2 linked regions of the Cricetulus griseus genome follow. The protein of the gene in region 2 purifies or fractionates together with the protein of the main gene of each other region. This does not show direct contact. Links are inferred from orthologs where the notes say so. Each region holds a gene or a part of one and is shown on either strand. Other genes may lie near its edges. The genes, in order: Golgi membrane protein 1 and Slc7a14.

Evidence for each region.
Region 1: the proteins of Slc7a14 (region 2) and Golgi membrane protein 1 purify together in Homo sapiens (co-immunoprecipitation; 3 studies listed by BioGRID and IntAct, with this or other methods). This does not show direct contact. The link is inferred for Cricetulus griseus from reciprocal best matches to the Homo sapiens genes SLC7A14 and GOLM1.

Annotation. Positions count from the first base shown.
Region 1 is NC_048596.1:278,769,100-278,773,498, forward strand, and holds the start of Golgi membrane protein 1, read right to left. Parts: upstream 2,888-4,399; 5' UTR 2,781-2,887; intron 1-2,780.
Region 2 is NW_023276806.1:119,888,473-119,893,073, reverse strand, and holds the start of Slc7a14 (probable cationic amino acid transporter), read left to right. Parts: upstream 1-1,500; coding exon 1,501-1,804; intron 1,805-4,601. UniProt on the Homo sapiens protein: Imports 4-aminobutanoate (GABA) into lysosomes. May act as a GABA sensor that regulates mTORC2-dependent INS signaling and gluconeogenesis. The transport mechanism and substrate selectivity remain to be elucidated.

The sequences.
Region 1 (4,399 bases), on a different chromosome or scaffold from region 2:
TTATAGAGAAGTAAAAACACATACAGGGAGGGGGCGCCAGCTTTGGAAATGGAAATGATCAGACTGAGACATAAGCTACCGTCACCATGTAACAGTCTATGTGAGCATTTGTGTCAGGCACGCAGATCCCAGTCACTCTGGGGATCGAAACACCTGAAAACTTCAAGCCAAGTCTTTCCCTAACTAATTCCACCAGTAACTTCAAAGCCTGGGATCCTGTGGGGATTTTTTAGGTGTGAAACTGTCACAGAATTTTTAAAGTGTTCAATCTTTCGGTTTCCAAGATTAAAGCTAAAGCCTATATGTGTGTTATGCATGCCTACATGTTGGTGTGTACACATGTGGGGGGCTGTGTGTGTGTTATGCATGTTTACATGTTGGTGTGCACACATGCAGGGGGCTGTGTGTGTGTTATGCATGTTTACATGTCGGTGTGCACACATGTGGGGGGCTGTGTGTGTGTTATGCATGTTTACATGTCGGTGTGCACACATGCGGGGGGCTGTGTGTGTGTTATGCATGTTTACATGTTGGTGTGCACACATGTGGGGGGCTGTGTGTATGTTATGCATGTTCACATGTTGGCGTGCACACATGTGGGGGGCTGTGTGTGTGTTATGCATGTTCACATGTTGGCGTGCACACATGTGGGGGGTGCCCCCTCCATGTGCAGCATCTCCCCCTCTGTGGATCTCTCACTCACTTTTGAGCCAGGGCATTTCACTGACTCTTCTGGACCAGCTGTGTGGAGACTCCTGGGGTCTGTGTCCTGTCCAACCAGTTGGGAGTTGGGGTCGCAGGGCACATGTGGCTTTTCACGGTGGGGCGAAGCTCCTGCACTCACACTCCAGAGCCATTTCCCCAGCAGGAAAGGTATTTTAAGGCCACTTCTCCTACCTTTATTTTTTTTCTTTTCCCAATCAAGAATTGCTTTCTAAAAGAAATTATGGATGTTATTTTTCATGTTAGGTCCTAAACCCTGAATTTTTTTAAAGGAAGAAAAAGTGACAACCATGTAAAGAAACTCGAGGGAAAAGCAAAGGGCTCACAACCTCCCTTCTTTCCCCTCAGCACCCAGGACTCCCAGGGGCAGGGCTGCTCCTCAGGCCCAAACTCCCTTCCCCCACCCCCACCCCAACTGCCCCACAGGGGCCTGTTCCCAGGTCCTATCTTTACTACTCTGGCACTTTGAACAGGACACTGGCAGGCCTTCCCTGCAGGAGGTGGCCATGGAAACACATAGAAAGAGCTCCCTGCTCTTTGTGCCCTACCCCTAAAAACAAACACATGTAAACCCTTCCCATCCCCATCAATAGCCAGACTTGCCACCAGTAAGGAAAAAGCACACGGACTTCAAGGCCTAAGGCCAGAACAGGTCACAGTGTCTCATCACCTCCACCACACACACACACACACACACACAGACACACACACACACACACATACACACACTCACACTCTCACACACACACACCACTCACACACTCACACACACACCACTCACTCACATACACACCACTCACACTCACATACACACACACAGACACACACACACATACTCACATACACACACTCTCACACTCACACACACACACTCACACTCACACACACATATACACACACTCACATACACACACTCTCACACACACTCACACACTCACACACACTCACACACACTCACACACACTCACACTCACACACACATACACACATACTCACACACTCACACACACTCTCACACACAGACACACAGACACACACTCACACATACACACACAGGCTTCCCTACAAGCAACATTTCTGTTATTTTTGCACAAAACTTATTCATTTAAATGTGGGAAAACATAATAAGCACTCCCTAAGAGGGAGAATTAGGCCTTAAAAAACCAACATATTTTCTTTACACTTCTTAAGAATGAAACTTACTGTCCATGAAAACTTTCAGGAGTGTCTGCCCTGACAGAGTCTTCAGTAGTCTACCGACTATTGTTTTCTATTTACAAGGGGAAGTGACTGAGCCTCTCTTTCTTAAGATGAGTAGCATGAGTTGCAATGCCCTAACACCCAACACTACTGATTGTAGCTTCCCAGGCACCCCGGCCATCACCTTCGGAAATAAAACCGTCAAATCTGACCCGAGCGATGGCCATTCATCATTCACTCCATGGTCAGTCACTCCATCACCGCTGAACAGTTCATCAAACTGGTGTGCATTTTACCCCACTTCTAAAGAACATTCCTCAGTATGGAAAAAAAAAAAAAAAAAGTAGGGCCCTGAGACCCCGTAACCAGACAAAGAAAGCCTCAAACCTTGAAAGCTAAATAAAAAAAAAAAAAAAAAAACAGCAGACTTCGAGATGCGATACCTGGAAATGGCTAGCCCTTGGTGACTTTCCCAACCAATTCACCATGCATAAATCGCTAGAAAGGGGCTCATCAAAACTGGGATTGTTTCCCAATCTTGTCTTACATTTTTAAAGTAATCGTTAACATTTTTAAACACAGAAGAGTATCAAAACCCCAGCGAGCGCTTCTAGCACGCAACAAGTTGTTAGGTAGTTCCACCCCGGCAAGGAGCATCCCAGAAAGTCGGCTGCGGCTGCCTGTGGCGGGCGACCCCGGGGACTCGCGGGCCACTTGCAGGGTTTGCCGGGGAGGGCAGAGGAGGGAGGCGGGAGAGACAGAGAAGAGGGGATGGCGAAGGGTGGAGGAGGATGCGGGAGGCGGCGGCAGCAGGCGGCTGCCCGCGCTGCGTCCCGCGGGAGAGGCGCGGCGCTCACCTGCCGGCCGCGGGCTGCGGGGCTGCGGGCTGCGGGGCGCCGGGTCCGGTCGCCGTGCGAGAGCGTTCTCCGCCGAAGCAGCCCCGGCGGGCGGGCAGACGGGCGGGCACTTCCGGCGGAGCTGCAGCCCAGGCCCCAGCCCCGCGGCGCCGCCCTCCTCCCCGCCCTGTGCGAGCCGCCCTGTGCGAGCCGCCCTGTGCGAGCCGCCCTGTGCGAGCCGCCCTGTGCGAGCCGCCCTGTGCGAGCCGCCCTGCGCTCAGTCCTCCAGGCCTGAGCCATCGCCTCCCCGCCCACCCACCCGCCACACCGCAAACGATGACCTCCGAGGTAGCGGCGAAGCAGGATTTTGTCTTTCAGGACCTGGCTCACTGTGCAGCCCAAGGATGGCCTCGAACTCGTGGTGTCCCTCCGGCCTCTGCTTCTCTGGCTGCACTTACCGTTGCTGGCTATTGGGGTGCACGGCCCTGGGTTCTGGCTCTGAACACTGGTATTATCCTCACGGTTTTTTGTTTTGTTTTGTCTTTTCAAGACAAGGTTTCTCTGTGTAGCCCTGGCTGTCCTGGCACTCGCTCTGTAAACCAGGCTGGCCTTGAACTCACAGAGATCCTTTCTCTGCCTCCCCAGTGCTGGGATTCTTTTGCACTTTTTTTTTTAATATTTATTTATTTATCATGTATACAGTGCGTGCCAGAAGAGGGCACCAGATCTCATAACAGATGGTTGTGAGCCACCATGTGGTTGCTGGGAATTGAAGTTAGGACCTCTGAAAGTGCTCTTAACCCCTGAGCCGTCTCTCCAGGGGCTGCGGGGCTCTTTTGCACGTTTTTTAATAAGTGGCTGGGGTTTGAGAACAGTTGCAGAATCTCTTTCAAGGGTTCCCAGTTTCCCTATCTGGGTGAGGAAGCAGGTTCACTCTGAACATCTCCTTAAACCCCCACAACAATAAACAACTGAGCAGTGCCTGATGACCTCATCCATACCCCCACCCGTTTTTATCTTTCCAATAAACAACTTGTGGTAGTTTGAATGAGACTGGCCCCCACAGGGCTGATGCATTTGCATGTTTGCTTCCCAGTTGTTAGGGAGGATTAGGAGGTGTGGCCTTGTTGGGGTAGGTGTGTCACTGTGCTGGACTTTGAGGTTCAGTTCCCAGCTCTCCTCCTCCCTTTGTGGTTAAGACATCAGATCTTGGCTACTGCTCCACCGCCATGGCCCCCACCTTGATGGTCCTGGACTCCCTTTGAAACTGTAAGCCAGCCCCAATTAAATGCTTTTTTCCCCTCCATTTTTTTATTTAAATTAGAAACAAAATTATTTTACATGTTAATCCCAGTTCCCTCTCTCCCCCCTCCTCCCCTGCCCCCCCAACTAACACCCTACCCATCCCATACCCTTTCTGCTCCCCAGGGAGGGTGAGGCCTTCCATAGGGGGTCTTCAGAGTCATATCTTTTGGGATAGGTCCTAGGCCCTCCCCCATGTGTCTAGACTGAGGGAGTATCCCTCTATGTGGAATGGGCTTCCAAAGTCCATTCCTATGCTAGGGACAAGTACTGAACTACTACAGGAGGTCCTGTAGATTTCCAAGGCCTCAGTGACACCCACGTTCATGGTGTCTGGA
Region 2 (4,601 bases):
GTGGCATGGCCCCTCTTAAGAATCATAGATCTAATTTTACATTCTTTTTTTTTTTGCAAATGAAGATATTTTGTTCACAAAGAATATGCCCAGCATCACAGATCAAATCTTGGCAAGCAAGAAGTACATAGGAGTGGAGGCAGCTGAGTGCCTCCTGTGAGCCAGGTCTTGTCCTCAGCTGCTTGCATATCTGTGCTGACCTGCCTAACACATTAACACCAAGCAGATGACTTTGCTACTGGAGTTGTTGGGTCAGAGCTAGGTCCCAGCAGCCCTGATGAACTAGGTTCACCAACCTGTCCTCAAGCCATATGGTGACTTGAATGAGAAATGTCCCTCATAGGCTCATGTATTCAAGCACTTGATTCCCAGCTGGTGGCACTATTTGGGAGGACTATAGAAATTTTAGGATGTGGAGCCTTGCTGGAGGAAGTACATCAGTAGGCTGTGAGATTTTATAGCCTTGCCATGCTCCTGCTCCTTCTCAGCTTCCTGTGTGTGATTGAAAGCGTGATTAGCCAGTTTCCTACTCCTGCTGTCATGCTTTCCCTGTCATGATGGACTTTGCCCCTCTGGAACCATAAGCCAAAAGAAACCCTGAGTTGCTCTTGTCAGAATATTTTACCACCGCAACAGAAAACTAACGACTACAATGGACAAGTGAAAGAGACAAACGGACAACTAAAAGCAGAAAGGAGAGATGTATTCAGTGTTGCAACACTGAGAAGGAAAACAAAAAGATTGAGCCCCTCTTCCAAGTCCATCTTCAGGGTCCTAGCATGAGATCTAGGTTTAAATAGATGGCTGTTTGAAGGTATGCATAGCTAAGCAGCCCTTTTCAGTGGTCCCAACATCAATATTCAGGGCCTCAGTCTTTCCTGTGAGGTGTTCTAACAAGTTGTCAGACTGTGTGAAATATCTTTCTAGGGGATGGATTCTCCAAGCTGGCACCAGGGCCCCAACTTTTTCCTTCTCCCAGCATGAGATTCCTAGAGAAAATCTAATTCCTTGAAGTATGGTTGAAATTACAAAGAGAGGCTACACCCATCTTTTCAGACTATTTTCATTCTGGTCAAGACTTTATTGGCCTGTAAAGAGCTAAGACTGAAGCACAGAGAAAGGAAATGACCTATAGCAGGTATTAGAATAAACCAGCTTCTGGGATGATTATGAGACAAGGGGCAGGCTTCAGGCTGTCATATGAGAACTGGAAGGGAGCTCAGAAGGGAGAACACAGAAATGGAGAGGCACAAATGACAGCCTCATTGCACCTGTTCCTGAGGCAATGCCCAATGTGTCTCCCAGTCATGGTTTGCTTCTTACCTTCTTTCTTGTGTTTCTCTTCCAGACGTTCATGCCCAAGTCAATGCTGCACTGGGTCCCACTGGGCCTTTCTTAAAAGGACACACACTCATTGCTCCATGTGTTCCAGGATCATCCACTAAGTCTTCTGTAGTTCTTTTCCATCAGTGAGCCTTCACTGTAACCCTCCCGTTCAAGATGAGTGGCTTTCTGGCCTCACTGGACCCCCGGCGGGTGCAGTGGGGGGCTGCCTGGTATGCGATGCACTCTCGGATCCTGCGTACCAAACCAGTGGAATCCATGCTGGAAGGGACTGGAACTACCACAGCACATGGTACCAAGCTAGCTCAGGTACTCACCACTGTGGACCTCATCTCTCTTGGAGTCGGCAGCTGTGTGGGCACTGGCATGTATGTGGTGTCTGGCCTTGTGGCCAAGGAAATGGCAGGACCTGGTGTCATTGTGTCCTTCATCATTGCTGCTGTTGCATCTATATTATCAGGTAAGTGTCTAAGGGAGGGATGTCCCATGTCAAGGTTGCTTGCTGACATGGTTGCTGCTCATTTCACTCTTTCAGAATATCTATTACAACATTTGTTTATTTGTGTGTTGCGGGAGCACATGCCAGAGCCTGTGTGTGGAGGCCAGAAGACAACTTGTGGGAGTCAGTTCTCCCCGGCCACCAGATGGGTCCTGGAGATTGAACCCATGCTGACAGTGTGAGCAGGAGACACCTTCCCACTCAACCATCTCCCCAGCCTCTTCTAGAACAGTTGGTAATGAGCTGCACAAAGGGGCAGTGAATTGGCTTATTTGGTTTTTCTGGTCTCCAATACTGCTAGGTAGACAGGGGACTAGGTTTCGACCTGATTGTAATAGCTTCCGTTTTCTGTGGTTTTCAGTATAAGCAACTATTCTGATGTCCAGGCTCTGGTCTCCCAGCTTCTCCCTCTCTGTTCTGCTAGTTACTCTATTTCTGTTTTAATGCTGCTTTTCCTTGGAAGATGGGTTGGGTCTCCTAGCAAGAGGAACAGAGCACACAACCAGCATAAAATAATAGCAAAGGATGTGCAGAGTAACAAAACAGCAAGTCAGTTACTTGGACATGACTGGGATTTGATCAGCCTCAAGCTGGCACTGGGAGGCAGAAGCCAAGAAAAGGGATCTAGTGCTATTGGAGATATACAACACTTTCTGCCTCAACAAACAAACCCATCACCTACAGGGAGGGCAGCAGCCCCTCTTGCCCTTGACCCAGGGTCACACAACTAATTCAAAAGCGGGATGCCAAGGCCTACACATTGGTAGTTTGTGGAATGACTCTCCTATTGCCTTTCTCCCTTTTCTTCATTTTCTCTAGAGCTGTAGGCCATAGTATCTTCCCAGAGGACCACAAGTAGGTCAATAGACAACTTTTAAAAAAGAAGAAGAAAAGATAAAAGGAAAGGAAAGGAAAGGAAAGGAAAGGAAAGGAAAGGAAAGGAAAGGAAAGGAAAAGAATAGCATCTTGGAGACCACAGCACAAAACATGAGATTTTGCTGGGCATGGGGCTACTGATTGTGTGTGTCGGCTGATGTATTGGCAGTGAGTGTTTGGGCTGTTCAACTGTTTCAGGCACAGCATATCTAATGCAGAACAGGAGTGTTACGATAAATCTTTCTGCCATAAGCCACCCGAGCCCTACCACCACATGGGCGGTCTCCGCCAGCCACCTGAGTTCTGCCGGCCATGTGGATGGACAAAATAACACAGAGACTTGTATTATGTACAGATGCTGCTTGACCAATGACTAGGATTCTCATCTGTTAGCTCAGTCTTATTTATCATAAATCTATATATTTTATAAGACTTATCTTATTGGACACCATCCATTGGTGTCCTCCTTTGCAGGTGGGTGGATCACATGGTGCCACTGGAGCAGGAGCCAAGGGGAAAAGGGGAAGGAGAGGGCTTCCATGTGCTGTGGCCCCTTAAGAGCCCATGCCGAGTCATCCTGACCTCACCTTGACCACGCCTTGACAGGTGTGGTCAGGCACACCTGTAGCCAGCCTCTAACAGGTGTGGCTTACTGTCCCCTACACAGGAGTTCTGTGACTTGTGTCCAGCATCACATGAAAATCCTACAGTACCATTCCTCACTATTAAATATTAGTATTTAGTCTCCGTCCATGAAGTAATAAGACAGATTACAAACAGCAAACTCAAAAGTTTACTGGCTGCTACCTGATGCTTTTCATTTAGTAACAATCCACTAGAACCAAGCCTCACAGTCAACTCTACCCAACCCCTTCCCTGGAATCACCCTTTCTTCTGCATGAAAACGCTAACAAACTGGATTTATGCAGATTAAAGGACTTCTGTCCCTTCAAAATGAATGCATTGCTCACATGAATGAATTACCTAGCTGCTTGAAATAAGTAATGTGACTTCAATTCTTCCCAAATTGTATTGACAAAAATGATACATCACTGGTTTATGGCTCTAAAAGGAATATCATTATAGAAGTGATTAGAGATGGCATAACAAGGGGCAGGCATCCTGCTAGAGGGTTATCCTAGTGTCATTTATGTTGCTGTAATAAAATACTCTAGCCTGAAGCAACTTAAGGTAGAAAAAGGGTTGTTTCAGTTCGGTCCAGCACTGTGGGTGAAGTCACAGCAACAGAATCTTGAAACAGCTGACCACGGACAGGAACAGGAAGGAGATAATGCATCCGTGATCACTTGCCTGTTTGGTAGTGCTCAACTCCATTTTTTCTTCTGTGGTCTTCAACAGTTCAGGACACCATCAAGGGTACAGTGCACACCCACAGTGGGCTGGGTCTTCCCACATCAAATAACTTAAAGACAATCTCCTGTGGACATGCCCACAAACCAACCCAATGTAAACAATCCTTCATTAAGGCTCTTTTCCCAGGTGACACAGGGCCATAGGATAGACACCTAAATCCCTGCCAGTTAATGAGTACTGCACAGCTTTCCCCAGACCCCATTCTAGTTGGGTACAGTGCCCAGGCTGAGATGACTCCTGTATGAGGGAGGCAAATCATCCCTCACATACAATTGCATCCTGGGAGCCCATCCCCCACCTCAGTGCTCACAGCACTGTATAGTATCTACTTCTTCATCACTGGAATGGAGAGCTCAGAGCTATCCAGCCAGTATGATGCTGGAGCCACTGTGCACCAGCTCTTTGCAGCCCTGATAGGCCACACCACTTTACAGCTTTACAGCCAGTGATATCACACTGCAGACCTGAAATCAGCTGTGCTGGGACTGCATTTTTGCTGCCATTGTTT